Arabidopsis thaliana: one gene and its partners. The protein of the gene in region 3 interacts with the protein of the main gene of each other region in a pairwise test. Each region holds a gene or a part of one and is shown on either strand. Other genes may lie near its edges. The genes, in order: CKS1, CYCP2;1 and CDKB2;1.

Evidence for each region.
Region 1: the proteins of CDKB2;1 (region 3) and CKS1 interact in binary tests that used the Arabidopsis thaliana proteins (3 or more experiments, as listed by UniProt).
Region 2: the proteins of CDKB2;1 (region 3) and CYCP2;1 interact in a two-hybrid assay, tested with the Arabidopsis thaliana proteins (one study listed by BioGRID).

The regions. Positions count from the first base shown.
Region 1 is NC_003071.7:11,909,986-11,913,472, forward strand, and holds CKS1 (cyclin-dependent kinase-subunit 1), read right to left. Parts: upstream 1,818-3,487; 5' UTR 1,559-1,817; coding exon 1,506-1,558; intron 1,431-1,505; coding exon 1,370-1,430; intron 1,068-1,369; coding exon 918-1,067; 3' UTR 584-917; downstream 1-583. Other genes in the region: CKS2 (CDK-subunit 2), read right to left, coding at 2,475-2,612, 2,920-2,980, 3,075-3,127. UniProt on the Arabidopsis thaliana protein: Associates with cyclin-dependent kinases (CDKs) and plays an essential role in the regulation of the cell cycle that affects plant growth rate. May inhibit both the G1/S and G2/M phases.
Region 2 is NC_003074.8:7,703,146-7,706,487, forward strand, and holds CYCP2;1 (cyclin p2;1), read right to left. Parts: upstream 1,814-3,342; 5' UTR 1,669-1,813; coding exon 1,283-1,668; intron 1,029-1,282; coding exon 782-1,028; 3' UTR 654-781; downstream 1-653. Other genes in the region: PEX22 (peroxin 22), read right to left, coding at 1-73.
Region 3 is NC_003070.9:28,719,818-28,724,615, forward strand, and holds CDKB2;1 (cyclin-dependent kinase B2;1), read right to left. Parts: upstream 2,734-4,798; 5' UTR 2,535-2,733; coding exon 2,308-2,534; intron 2,014-2,307; coding exon 1,872-2,013; intron 1,781-1,871; coding exon 1,719-1,780; intron 1,606-1,718; coding exon 1,494-1,605; intron 1,403-1,493; coding exon 1,309-1,402; intron 1,209-1,308; coding exon 1,139-1,208; intron 1,051-1,138; coding exon 912-1,050; intron 833-911; coding exon 737-832; 3' UTR 511-736; downstream 1-510. Other genes in the region: AT1G76530 (Auxin efflux carrier family protein), read left to right, coding at 1-251, 333-457; AT1G76550 (Phosphofructokinase family protein), read right to left, coding at 3,083-3,377, 3,461-3,564, 3,676-3,792, 3,873-3,977, 4,088-4,144, 4,222-4,266, 4,361-4,471, 4,583-4,656 and 1 more.

The DNA of each region.
Region 1 (3,487 bases), on a different chromosome or scaffold from region 3:
ACATGTTTTATTTTTTTATTTTTTATTTATTTTACCATTACAGTTCTTTGCATATGTTATAAACAAATCTTTATTTAATCTGATGACACTTTATTTTTACAAAGTAAATGTTGCTTTATAGTTTATACAGTATATAAAAAAAATATTTATTATGGACGAGTGCTATTTAACACTATGACACACATTTTACACACTTAATACATCTTAAAACAAAACGACACCCCAGTAATTACTGTTTACAATTTTGTCATTGAAACTATTTTCCAAAATATGTTCCAGATTTTGGCTATCTAGCAAACTAACCCCTAATTATAGAAAAGAAAGTTACCAATGTAAAGTTTTAGCCACACAAAAAGGAAAACCATGATAACCACAATAACATCTAATTTGATTTTCGAGTCATGTATCTTTTTACTCAAACCTCCATCCAGATTCAACACCATTATAGTTTGAGGATTTGATTCGATAGCAACTACGTTTGTGTTCTTCATTGAAATGTAAGTTTCATACTTTCGTTATCAACAAAAACAATGGTTATTCTACAAAACTAGAGCGTAAAAGTTATCAACAAAAACTTTCTTTTTCTCTTTCATTTGTGTTCATGGTTGAGTGGAAACATGGGACACATTGTTCTCAACTACTCATGCCTATCCAGTGACCATTTTACCAATATATCTAAAAATCAAACACATAGTTGGATGACACTAAACTACCACCAAATGTCTTGAGAAATAAGTAATTAAGAAGCAGAAGATGACATTAGAACCAAGACTAACATTACATAGAAGTTGTTCAACAAACCAACTCTCACATATTCATCCATAACCACAAAGATTCAAACCATGTTTACAAGAAACATAAACCAATACTCATAGAATTGTTGCATATAACATTCTTACTCAGGTGATGATAATGATTCACTTAACAAGCATGTTCTGAGCTTGATTCTCCTGCTGCTGCTGATAGTTAAGAGGCCTCCTGAATAGCATTATGTGCGGCTCAGGTCGATGAACCGCGTAATGTACCCATCCGCGGCTTTGCTGCACTCCTATCGCTCGCCATTCGTTCTTCGAAATTCCAAACATTTTTACCATCACCACCAATCAATACAACATTGAAGAGATTGCACAACACAAATGTCTAAAATCTCTTTATCACTAAACCTTACAAAATCCCAAAGCAAAGATTCAAAATCGTAACAGTTGCAATTTGGATTCAGAGCAAAGATTCAAATCCTAAACCTAAACGATCTCTTTTTCGATTTTTCCCAAACTTAATTTCTTAAGAGCAACAAATTTTCATAGTCTTCGATGATCTAATCGAAGGATTTAGAATCAGAAATCAGAGAACAATGCGGAAAAAAACTTACTTCGGAGAGAAGACGATTCTTTGGAAGAAGTTTAGCGACTTCAGGAGGAAGAACGACGTGCCTGTATCGATCGATTACGATTAGAGAAGTGAGAGTGAAAATTGGAGGAAGAAGAAGCGAGATTGAAGAGCTTTACCTGTATTCGAAAGTGTCATCGAAGTATTTCTCGGAGTATTGGATCTGACCCATTTCTCTCTCAGAGATGTGAAGCCTTAATCAGGAAATGGAGGAGAAGGGAAAGAGGAATTGAAGAATCTGTAATCTGATCGTTTGAAATTTGGGGAAGATAGTGAAAGGAGAATAAAGTGGTTTGGGGTAGATATGTAATTATGAGGAAATAGAGGGGTGTTTGATTAACTTTTTAGAGTTTTGAAATTCTTTAGAAGACGCCGATTGGGTATGAATGATTATAAACCGGTTAGTTACCAAAATGAATTGAAATTGGGTGGATTGGTTTGGTTCTAATTAAATTCAACAACTTGTTTGGTTGCTTTGACCAAAGACCTTGTTATTTACCATCAAACTACGAACTCGTTCATTTTCTCGAAATTTCATTTAATTCCAACAATCAGTGCTTCACACTAGGTATAAGATACATATCTAGTTAATTTATAAAAATGGCTCTGAATCTCCTGGTTTCAATACACTAATAGTAGTACAGTAAGGAATATATGGTGTTTGGTGAATGTGGTGATTGAGACACAATATGAGTTTCTTTGAATCAGTATCGCCATGAGAATCGTGATTAGACCTTCAGATTGGCATTGTAATGATACCTTGTTTGTTGTTCATAGTTATGGACTTAAGACTCTAAGAGGAGCAATAAAAAGAGGTTGAAATGATGAAACAAGCACATAAGCATGAGAAATAACGTCTTCATTCTTAACCATGAAGAAGTTCAAACGTGGATCCAACCAAAGTCTAGCAAAGGACCAGACTTAACATAACATTAAAAGTTGTTCTACCAAACTCACATGATTCTCCACTGAAGAGAATTCATGAACACAATAAAAAAAACTACAGGAACAAAACATCAGAGTAGTATTTTAAAACCTCGTTTACGAGAGACATAAACAGAGATTAGGGAGAATTTTGCATAATTCTTCTACTTAGCAATCTGAGCTTGGTGCTCCTGCTGGTAGTTAAGAGGCCTCCTAAAGAGCATGATATGTGGCTCAGGACGATGAATCGCGTAATGAACCCATCCACGACTTTGCTGCACTCCGATGGCTCTCCATTCACTCTACAAAACCAGATTGTAAAACAAGAAAACTGTTAACTTCAAAATCAGAAAACTGAGAATTGACTGATAACACAAAAAAATATCTAAACTATCTTCGTCACTGCTGACAATTACACAACCTAAAGTTAATAAACAAGTTAATGAGAAGCAAAACTTCAAATTCCTAAGCAGAAACTTCAATTTCTTCGACTCTCAAAAGTCCAAACTTCAATTTCCTAACTTAATTTCTTAAACATGTAAATCTCTTAGCCTACGATGATTCAAGGGTTATACAGCGAATAGAGGAAAGCCCTAATTTTTAACTTACTTCCGAAAGAATACGATTCTTAGGTAAAAGCTTAGCAACTTCCGGAGGAAGTACAACGTGCCTGAGAGAAAAATAAAAGACCACGCGATTAGACTGAAACTAAAACGTGAGAGAGAACTCCATTAAAATGGGAGGAGAATCAAACTGAGAATCACCTGTATTCGAAAGTATCATCGAAATATTTGTCGGAGTACTGGATCTGACCCATCTTCTTAAATCACCCAACAAACGTCTATTAAATTTACTAAACAAAAGAAATGGAGCAATCTGTCAGTAATCTAAACCCTAAACAACGACGAGAACCTAAACAAATCAGAAATCGAACCCTAATCTAAGAATCGGGAAGTAAAGCAGACCTTGAGAAGAAGTGCGATCGGAAACGAAATGAATTTTAGGGGAGAAGAGGGAAAGCGAAAGGGAATTAAAAAGGCATTGTGGTAAGGAAGTAATTATGGGGATTTATAGGGGCATTTTCTCAACGGGTGTTTTGATTTTTTTGAGTTTCAAATTTCTTAGAGGCGCTCCTTCCCGCTTAGTGGAGCCCTAAAATTTTGATTACGGTTCGACG
Region 2 (3,342 bases), on a different chromosome or scaffold from region 3:
CAACGTAAGCGCTTAAACGCTTAATCAACCGAACGATCTCTTCAGTAGGCGACGGCGACGACGATTCCGCCATTAATTTCACCTTTCCTTCAAAGCCAATTTCAAATACGTCGTCGGTTTAAACACGAACGTCCAGATTCTTAGCTTCAGCTTTCAGATATGGGGCACTGTTCTCGAGCCTCCTCCCTGAACTAAGAGAGAAAAGAGGAATTTTACTTTTCCATTAGAACACAACTAGGCAAAGTCAATTTGTTTGGACACGTGTCTTGTTAAACACGTGGTGGTGGATGAGCGTGTGAGACCATTGTTTTTTATCATAGGGTGCGATGGATCTGATCTGTACGAAACGGTGCGTTTTGCTCTTATGTAAAGGAAATTTTACACGATAAACCGAAGACGATTGGAGGAGTAAGAAAACTAGGAAACTAGAATTGGATTTTGGTTTGTTGTTGTTGGATACTTAAGTCATCATGGAGTATCATTTTACAGTGAAAAGAAGAAAATAGAGAGATGAACCTGAAGAACAAAACAACATGTGCAAAATGTAGGAAAAAATAGCTTATATCATTTAGTTGAAATCTACAAACTATTTAACTTAACAGATTTACATTGTAAAATCTCTAGTATACATAGTTTGAGATTTCAATTATTTTTCTCTAGCAAAAATTTGAGATAATTTCTTCAAAATATAAATAAAATTTCGATAGTTAGTGCGTAAACTTTTTCTGTCAACCAAACGCGTTCAGTTAAAAGTTATATTAAAAAAATTCATATACATATATCAAACATATAAAGATGATAAAGTAGATGCTGGAGAGAGACTTTCTTGCATTGGTTGAATATCTTTGAGGGAAGAAACGGCGTCGTTTAGTTGCATCTCTTTTTCGAGGTGAAAGCAATAGCTCTCGAAAACTCTAAAACTCACAGTAACTCTAAAGTCAAGAAGAAAGAGAAGCTCCAACTCCATTTTGTTCAAGTCTGCATTGCTTACGCCTCCAACCCGAGCATAGAACTCGTTGTTGTAGTGCCTGTGAATATGAAATTTGTTAGAAAAAACGAAAACCTCTCTTATCTCATCCAATACATGTTGAAACCTTGAAATCAATAACTTAAAAGGGGCACTTAACATACATATAGGTACAAAGTTTGTCCTCATTTTATATTGGTTAGATATAAAATGTATCTTTCATTTTGTTAATCAATTAAGATACAACTATGATCTATAGTTTCATGATTAGTCTAATTTCAAGATATTATAGAAATTCAAGAAAGGCTTACTTACACGTCATCTAGTATCTTGGCAGCAATCATGACACAAGTGACGAGGAGTCTATGAACATTCAAGGAGACAACCAAAGAACCAGGATGCTTATGAGCCAACCGGTCTATGTACACATACCCAACAACGAAACATGCCGGGCTACATTTTGTGTACTTATATATCCTCTCAAGGTATTTAGCTATACTTATGCTCGGCGCTCTCACGCCGTGAAACGCCTCCAAGCTCTTCCCAAATCCCTTAGTTTGCTTAGCTAACCACTCGTTTCGTGCCACGAGCTTCTCCATCACATGGGAGATTATAGTCAGCACTCTTGGAGTGGCTGCTTCCGTTGCCGATTCTGGTCCCACGACCGGGTCCAGTTCATCGTCTCCGGCTGCGGTTAACATGGGTTCTCTTCAGTTTTCGTTAATGGGCCATGTTGTATAGTTCGTTTTGGGTATATATGGCTTGTAGATTGGGTGGTTGAGATACGATGAGCTTAAGATGTTACGTGGGGATGTTATCATGTTTCGTCTGACTTTGGACGAGTGTGAGATGGTTTTGACACGTGTCACTTCGCGAGAAGATAGGATTCCGATGATTTTTGTATACCTTGAGCAATGAAATTAGTTATCATTTATCAAACAAATAACTTTATTTTCCACTTAATTTTCTGCATATTACTAGCATTATTACCCAAAATTAAGTTTCCGGGTCTTGGTCCATAATTTTCTCGTCCGGTACAATTTCCTTTGAAAAGTCTCACAGTACACAAATTTTACTACATACGCTGGAATATATTCTTGATGTAAATACTATATATAGATGTAAATTAATGTTAGATACATTATTTGAAAAAAGGCATACGCGTTGCCGGTCACTGCATACATGTTTAATGTTTTGATAAGGAGAGTTTATGCATAGGTCATATAATGTTATGTGGCCATTTTTTCTTATCTCTGTTTTGAAGTTCATTTATCTTTGTTTACGTTAATAGTTATCATGTTTCTTACTTTTATCTATCAAATCTATATATCATTTTCTTTGCATAAGGCATTTTTTTCTTAAATTGTATCCTTTTAAATAGTTAGGTTGGTGTGCAACTTCTTAAAAAGAAAAGTTAGTTCTTTGAGGATTATATCAAAAGATAATTACTAGTTCAAATTTTACAATTTTCTTTTAGAAACAAATTTTTTACGAAATAGCTGACAACATTTTTTAGGTTAGGAATCCCAAAATTTGAGGGTAGCCTGATCAAAAAGTTAGAAATGCTAACAACTTATTTCTATTCAAGAGTCAACTGCATAGCCATTATACATGCATGTACATTAAACTGATGATAATATAGAAGTTGATGTGGCCTAGTCTATTTCAAATGAAATGACTCAATGATCTCACATCTATATATCAAATGTTAGAGATACCAAAAGACATCACACAATTCAGAAAAACTGATAACTCTTTCAAACTAGTTGAGAACATATTTTCGAAAAAGAAACGTACGTGGCTCAATATTCAAGTAAATTACGACATGTATTACACGTATAAACGATATCAATAAATTTATTGGGAACCACAAGTAAGTAACACTAGTAATAGCTAGTATCGACCCGAAACAACGAGTTTTAAGGTTTGCCACAGAGCACAAAATCTATCGAGCAAGAAAAAAATCAGATAGTACTATCTTGACAAGCGATATAATCACAATTACCTATGCATGTCTTCATAATAAATCACGTCAAGGCTCATAATTACGCCACGTGGATTTTAACCGCGTGGACACACGTTTTCACAAGGTATAAAAGAAGCAACCCTACCTCTCTTTCTTCTACGTGATTCGCACACCACTGTAAAAGTGTAAAAAAACTCTTTTTTTGTTCTTCTTCACATTTCATTCGATTCAAAAAATATTCTGTTCTTAGATTGTAATCTGTTTTTTTTTCTGTAATCTCCCATTATTGGGTTTTGAATTTCTCGTCATTTTACGAAAAAGGTTGTGAATCGGCCTAATCGATCTCGGTCGTCATAAGTGAGTGCTTCTTCCTCCGTATTAGCTCTCAAAAACATTTGTGTTTCTATTT
Region 3 (4,798 bases):
TGGGGCCATTCCTGCTATGACCCTGATTCTTGGAGGAAACTTACTTAAAGGAATGAGGAGGTCGGAAGTGAGGAGTTCAGAAATGAAAAACTCCTGCATTATCGGCGTCTTGGTAGCTCGTTACATTTTGCTACCTGTAAGCGGTGTTTTACTCGTGAGAGGAGCATACAAGTTGGATTTAGTAACCTCAGAACCCTTGTACCAATTCGTTCTTCTTCTTCAGTATGCTGTCCCACCAGCCATGAATCTAGGTGCATGGCTTGAAACCAACTCCTTAAAATACAGTTACTTCTTTCAGATAAGATACATCACTAGTTTCCCTTACTTTTCAGGTACAAAGACCCAATTATTCGGCGCTGGGGAGAGTGAATGCTCTGTGATTATGCTTTGGACTTACTCTTTGGCTGCAGTTTCACTCACTGTTTGGCCAACATTCTTCATGTGGCTTGTGACATAAATCCCCACACTCGATCTTGTTATATGTATCCATTTATTCAAGAACTTATTCTTAGACTTCCAGATGACTGGATCATTATAATTGCGAATAGTCTTAAGAACATTAAAGCCGTTAATCCAAATATTCGAATAGAAAGAAACAACAATCAGAAGTGATATATTATGCTAAAGAAAGGATGATTCATAGAGGGGGAAGCAGCACACTAGAGATATGCTTGAAAGAAGCAAAACTAGAAAAACCATAAAACTTGGAAAGATACTAACTGAAGATTTTAAATCCTTAGAGAGAGGACTTTTCTGGCAGATCATCAAAGTAAGGATGCTCCATAGCCATCTTTGCTGAGATTCGTTTCGCTGGCTCGTACTGCAGCATTTTCTGTTCCAGGAAGATAAAAACGCAATTAGTTCGTCTGTTGAGTTTGTTTTGGTAGCTAGTTAATAAACTTTAGACTTACAGATAGAAGATCAACTCCAGCCTCGTCGAGGTTTGGAACAGCAGAGGATAGAGTCGATGGTTTCCACTGTGGGTATTCATGCCAGTTCTTGAGTGTGCTCACTCCTGGCCACATTTCTTCATTGGGTGTCCCAAACAACCTGAGTTGTACACCGGAAAGAGCGGCAAAATGAAAAAAGGTTTTCTTATGTTTGTCATGTAAAAGGTGAAGAATCAACAAAGACTTACTTGAAAATATGGAGGAGCTGTTGGAGCTCAGAGTCTCCCTGAAAGATTGCTTGGTTGGTCACAAGTTCAGCTGTAAATGGTGAAGGAACAATGTTAATTGTTGTTGTTTAGTAACTTAAGATGATATCGCAGTGACTAGTGAAATCAACGAGTCTGAAAAGAACACATACCAAATATGCAGCCAACAGACCACATATCCACAGCTGTAGAGTAATGGGTGGCACCAAGAAGAACCTCTGGAGCTCTATACCAAAGAGTTAATATCTGTTGCAATGAACAACCGATTCAAAACCATAAGTTCTACAATACATACAAAGTGGGATAAGTGCAAGAAGCAGTGTCAAACATTGATTACCTCATGGGTATACTTCTTCATTGGCAGAGTGAAGGCTCTGGCTAAACCAAGATCTGCTATTTTGAGCCTCATTGTCTTGGGATCCATCAAGAGATTGTGAGGCTTGAGATCTCTGTTTTGAAACAAGGAGAAATAGTAAGAAGAAGAAATCTCTCTTCCAAGTTATTATCTAAAATCATTCTCACTTAGAAGTTGAAAACAAGGGAAAGCCAGAGAACAATTCACCTGTGCAATATCCCGTGACCATGGCAGAATGCCATACCTTTGCATAGTTGATACATCAAGCTCTGCAAATAACTTTTCAGAATGTTATGTTTGGTTCAAGTGAGCACAAATGAAGCGAGAAAGAGAGATGACAGTAATAAGGTGGTTAAAAACCTTGATAGTTTGGGTTGGAATGTTCTTGCCAGTGCTACGGAAACTTCTGATGAATTTCTTGACATCAGTGTCCATGTATTCAAAAACCAGGTACAGTACAGTTTTGCCTTCTTTGCTTAGTCCTTGCTTAACATCCATTAACCTGAAAAAGATGACAAATAAAGTTTCCGTATATAATTGATTTTGCAATCACTGGAAAACTAACTGATACAGCGATCCAGATCAAACTCTAGGGAAACATCTATCAACAGTTTCTCAGAGCCAAATCATCTAACAATTAGTAGACTCTTCGAACTGATTACTACGATTTGAAATTGAGATCTATCTAATCTGGAAAACAAGCGAGATAGTGAGAAATCGACTATATAAACCCTAACGCGACTACAAGATCGAGAATATGGGGGCAATTTTATCGAATCAGAGGTAAAACCCTAACCTGACGACGTGAGGATCACGAGCGAGCATTCGCAAAATGGAGATCTCGCGGAGAGTGGTGGAAGGAACGCCTTCTTCGTCCTCATGGAGACGCGTCTTCTTTAGAGCGACGATTTTCCCGGTAGCTTTCTCTCTGGCTCTGTAAACTTTCCCGTATGTCCCTTCACCAACTTTCTCAAGCTTCTCGAAAGCATCCATGGCGGAAACTGCTATAACTCCCTCGTCCATCGCTCTCTAAAATTCTTCTTCTCCGGCGCTCTCTCTCTCTCAGTTGGTTCTTATTGGGAAAGTGAATTGTCGGAGATCAAAGTGTAGATAGGTTATATAATTAAATGAGACCTGAAATTATAGAATCCTTATTCTTGGGCTTTCACAACGGACTGATTTTTCGAAATTCAAACTGGAGCGTGGAGGAGCGGTCTTTTCATAAACGCCTTTTTTTAATTTGCCACGTACTATAGTATTTAATTTTAATTTTTACATTTATTCATTTGTGTCCACTTGTCATATATATCCGTAGGTACTTTGATTTGGTCGCACCATATACAAATTATGATCGAGAAGGCAACAAGAAGATTAGTGAACCCAAACACAGACTTCTTCATTAAAAAAGCATTACTCAAATCCTTTAACTTTGAATATCCTTTTCCTAAACTCAACTTTGAACAATAAAGTTTGCGTAAATCAGAAGACGACTTCAAAATGGAAAGAGAGAGAGAGAGAGAGAGCTAATGAAGTTTATGGTTAAAGGGAAAACCAAAACAATAAAAAAATCTTTAAGCAAATTGCTGACCGCTGGTGGAAGAAGATGAGATCGTAGTGAGAACATCAGTCACCGAGGCCATAACACTCAATGCCGCTTTCAAAACATCTTGAGAGCAACCCGGTTTCACAATCGTCCTCACCTGATCAAGATACTCCTGCAGCTTCTTGATTTTCCCCATGTAATCCTGGTCTTCTACACACAGACTTACCGCCTTTGCATCTGCACCTGGACCATCATACTGGACTGGTCCTGGGTTTCGGTACATATCTTCCATCAAGAATTTCTGCGCGTTTTGTCTCAATAGACTGCAAAATCATTTGACAAATTATATCACTTGATTTCATGTTCATTCTAATCTTTGTCTAATGAGTGAGGAACAAAAGCTTACTCGTATGCTTTTCCTTTCAAGTCAACTGAAGCTGGATGAATTACAGGTCTACCAATCGTAGTAGAACCAGAATTTTGGGACCAACGCTTAACCGTCATCATTGCCTAAGGTTAAACAGAGAAAGAGATTGGGGTCAGTAAAACTGAAACTTGAAGTCAGAAATCAACACATATACTAAACAACTTTAGCCTTATAAATAAGAGACAAAACTCAACTGAGATAGGCGCAGCCCCGCATTTCCATTTGTTTACAGGACTCTTCAGGTTAGTCACTGTCGCCATGTAACCATTCAAACCAGCTGCGAGGATGTGGTAACATACATGTCCAAGAACCTGCATCAAAGTTATAATCAATGGTGTGAATGTCCATAATATTGAAGTTGCAATAGCATTTTAGTTTGGCGATCACATACATAGGCGTAGTCACAATCGAATTTTGATGGAAGAGATCCACGAGCTTGGTAACCAAAAAAGTGACAGATAGCGTTGAATTTCTTCCCTTTGTAGGTTCCTTCTTTCTGTCATTTTCAAAACTTAGTTTTAGGGACAACTTGAATATTCAGGCAAGGTTATTCAAAAAAATTTGAAAAAAATGGATTGTGACAAGTGAAAAAGATGTGCAACATACCAAGCGCTTGTTCATTTCAGTCTCCACAAGATAAGCCAGAAGTTTCTCCGTCTCAATCTAAGAAGAAAGTAAATGAGCAATTAGAATTCCAACTTTTTATAGCACAGTAACTCCATCATTTTCTTTCTTCTTACCTGGGATAGCTGAGCAGAATCATCAGACTCGGGATGGAGAAGTAGCTGCAGAAACAAAGAAGACAATTTATCATAAGAACACATACTCGTTTACATGTGAGAAAAAACAAAGAAAAGTACCATGTCAAAGAATTAGAACCTGTTTCTTAATGAATGGAGGCAAAAACTCAAACAAAGCAGATGACCAAGATGACAACTGAGTAGAAATATTATCAACCTGCACACCCTCCTTAAGCAATCCATGAATTTCCTGCATCGCACAACAACATGTAAATGCTTACTATGTTTTGGAACTCAAGAAACAATAAAAAATAGCACATTAAATGATAAATAGAAATGTTTGCCAGTATTGAATCGTTACCTTCAACAGAGCATAGAGTTCAGGAATACTCTCAACAAGCCCTTCAGGAATTAGGATGACTCCATGATTTTTGTCTGATACAAATAGACAGTTTATCAATAAAGTTAGGGAACAAGCAAAAGACATCACTTCCAACATACCAAAAGCTCGTTTTAGTTATCAGACCTTGTTCGGCTCTTGCTTGAACAGCATCACAGATTTGTTTTATGATGTCAA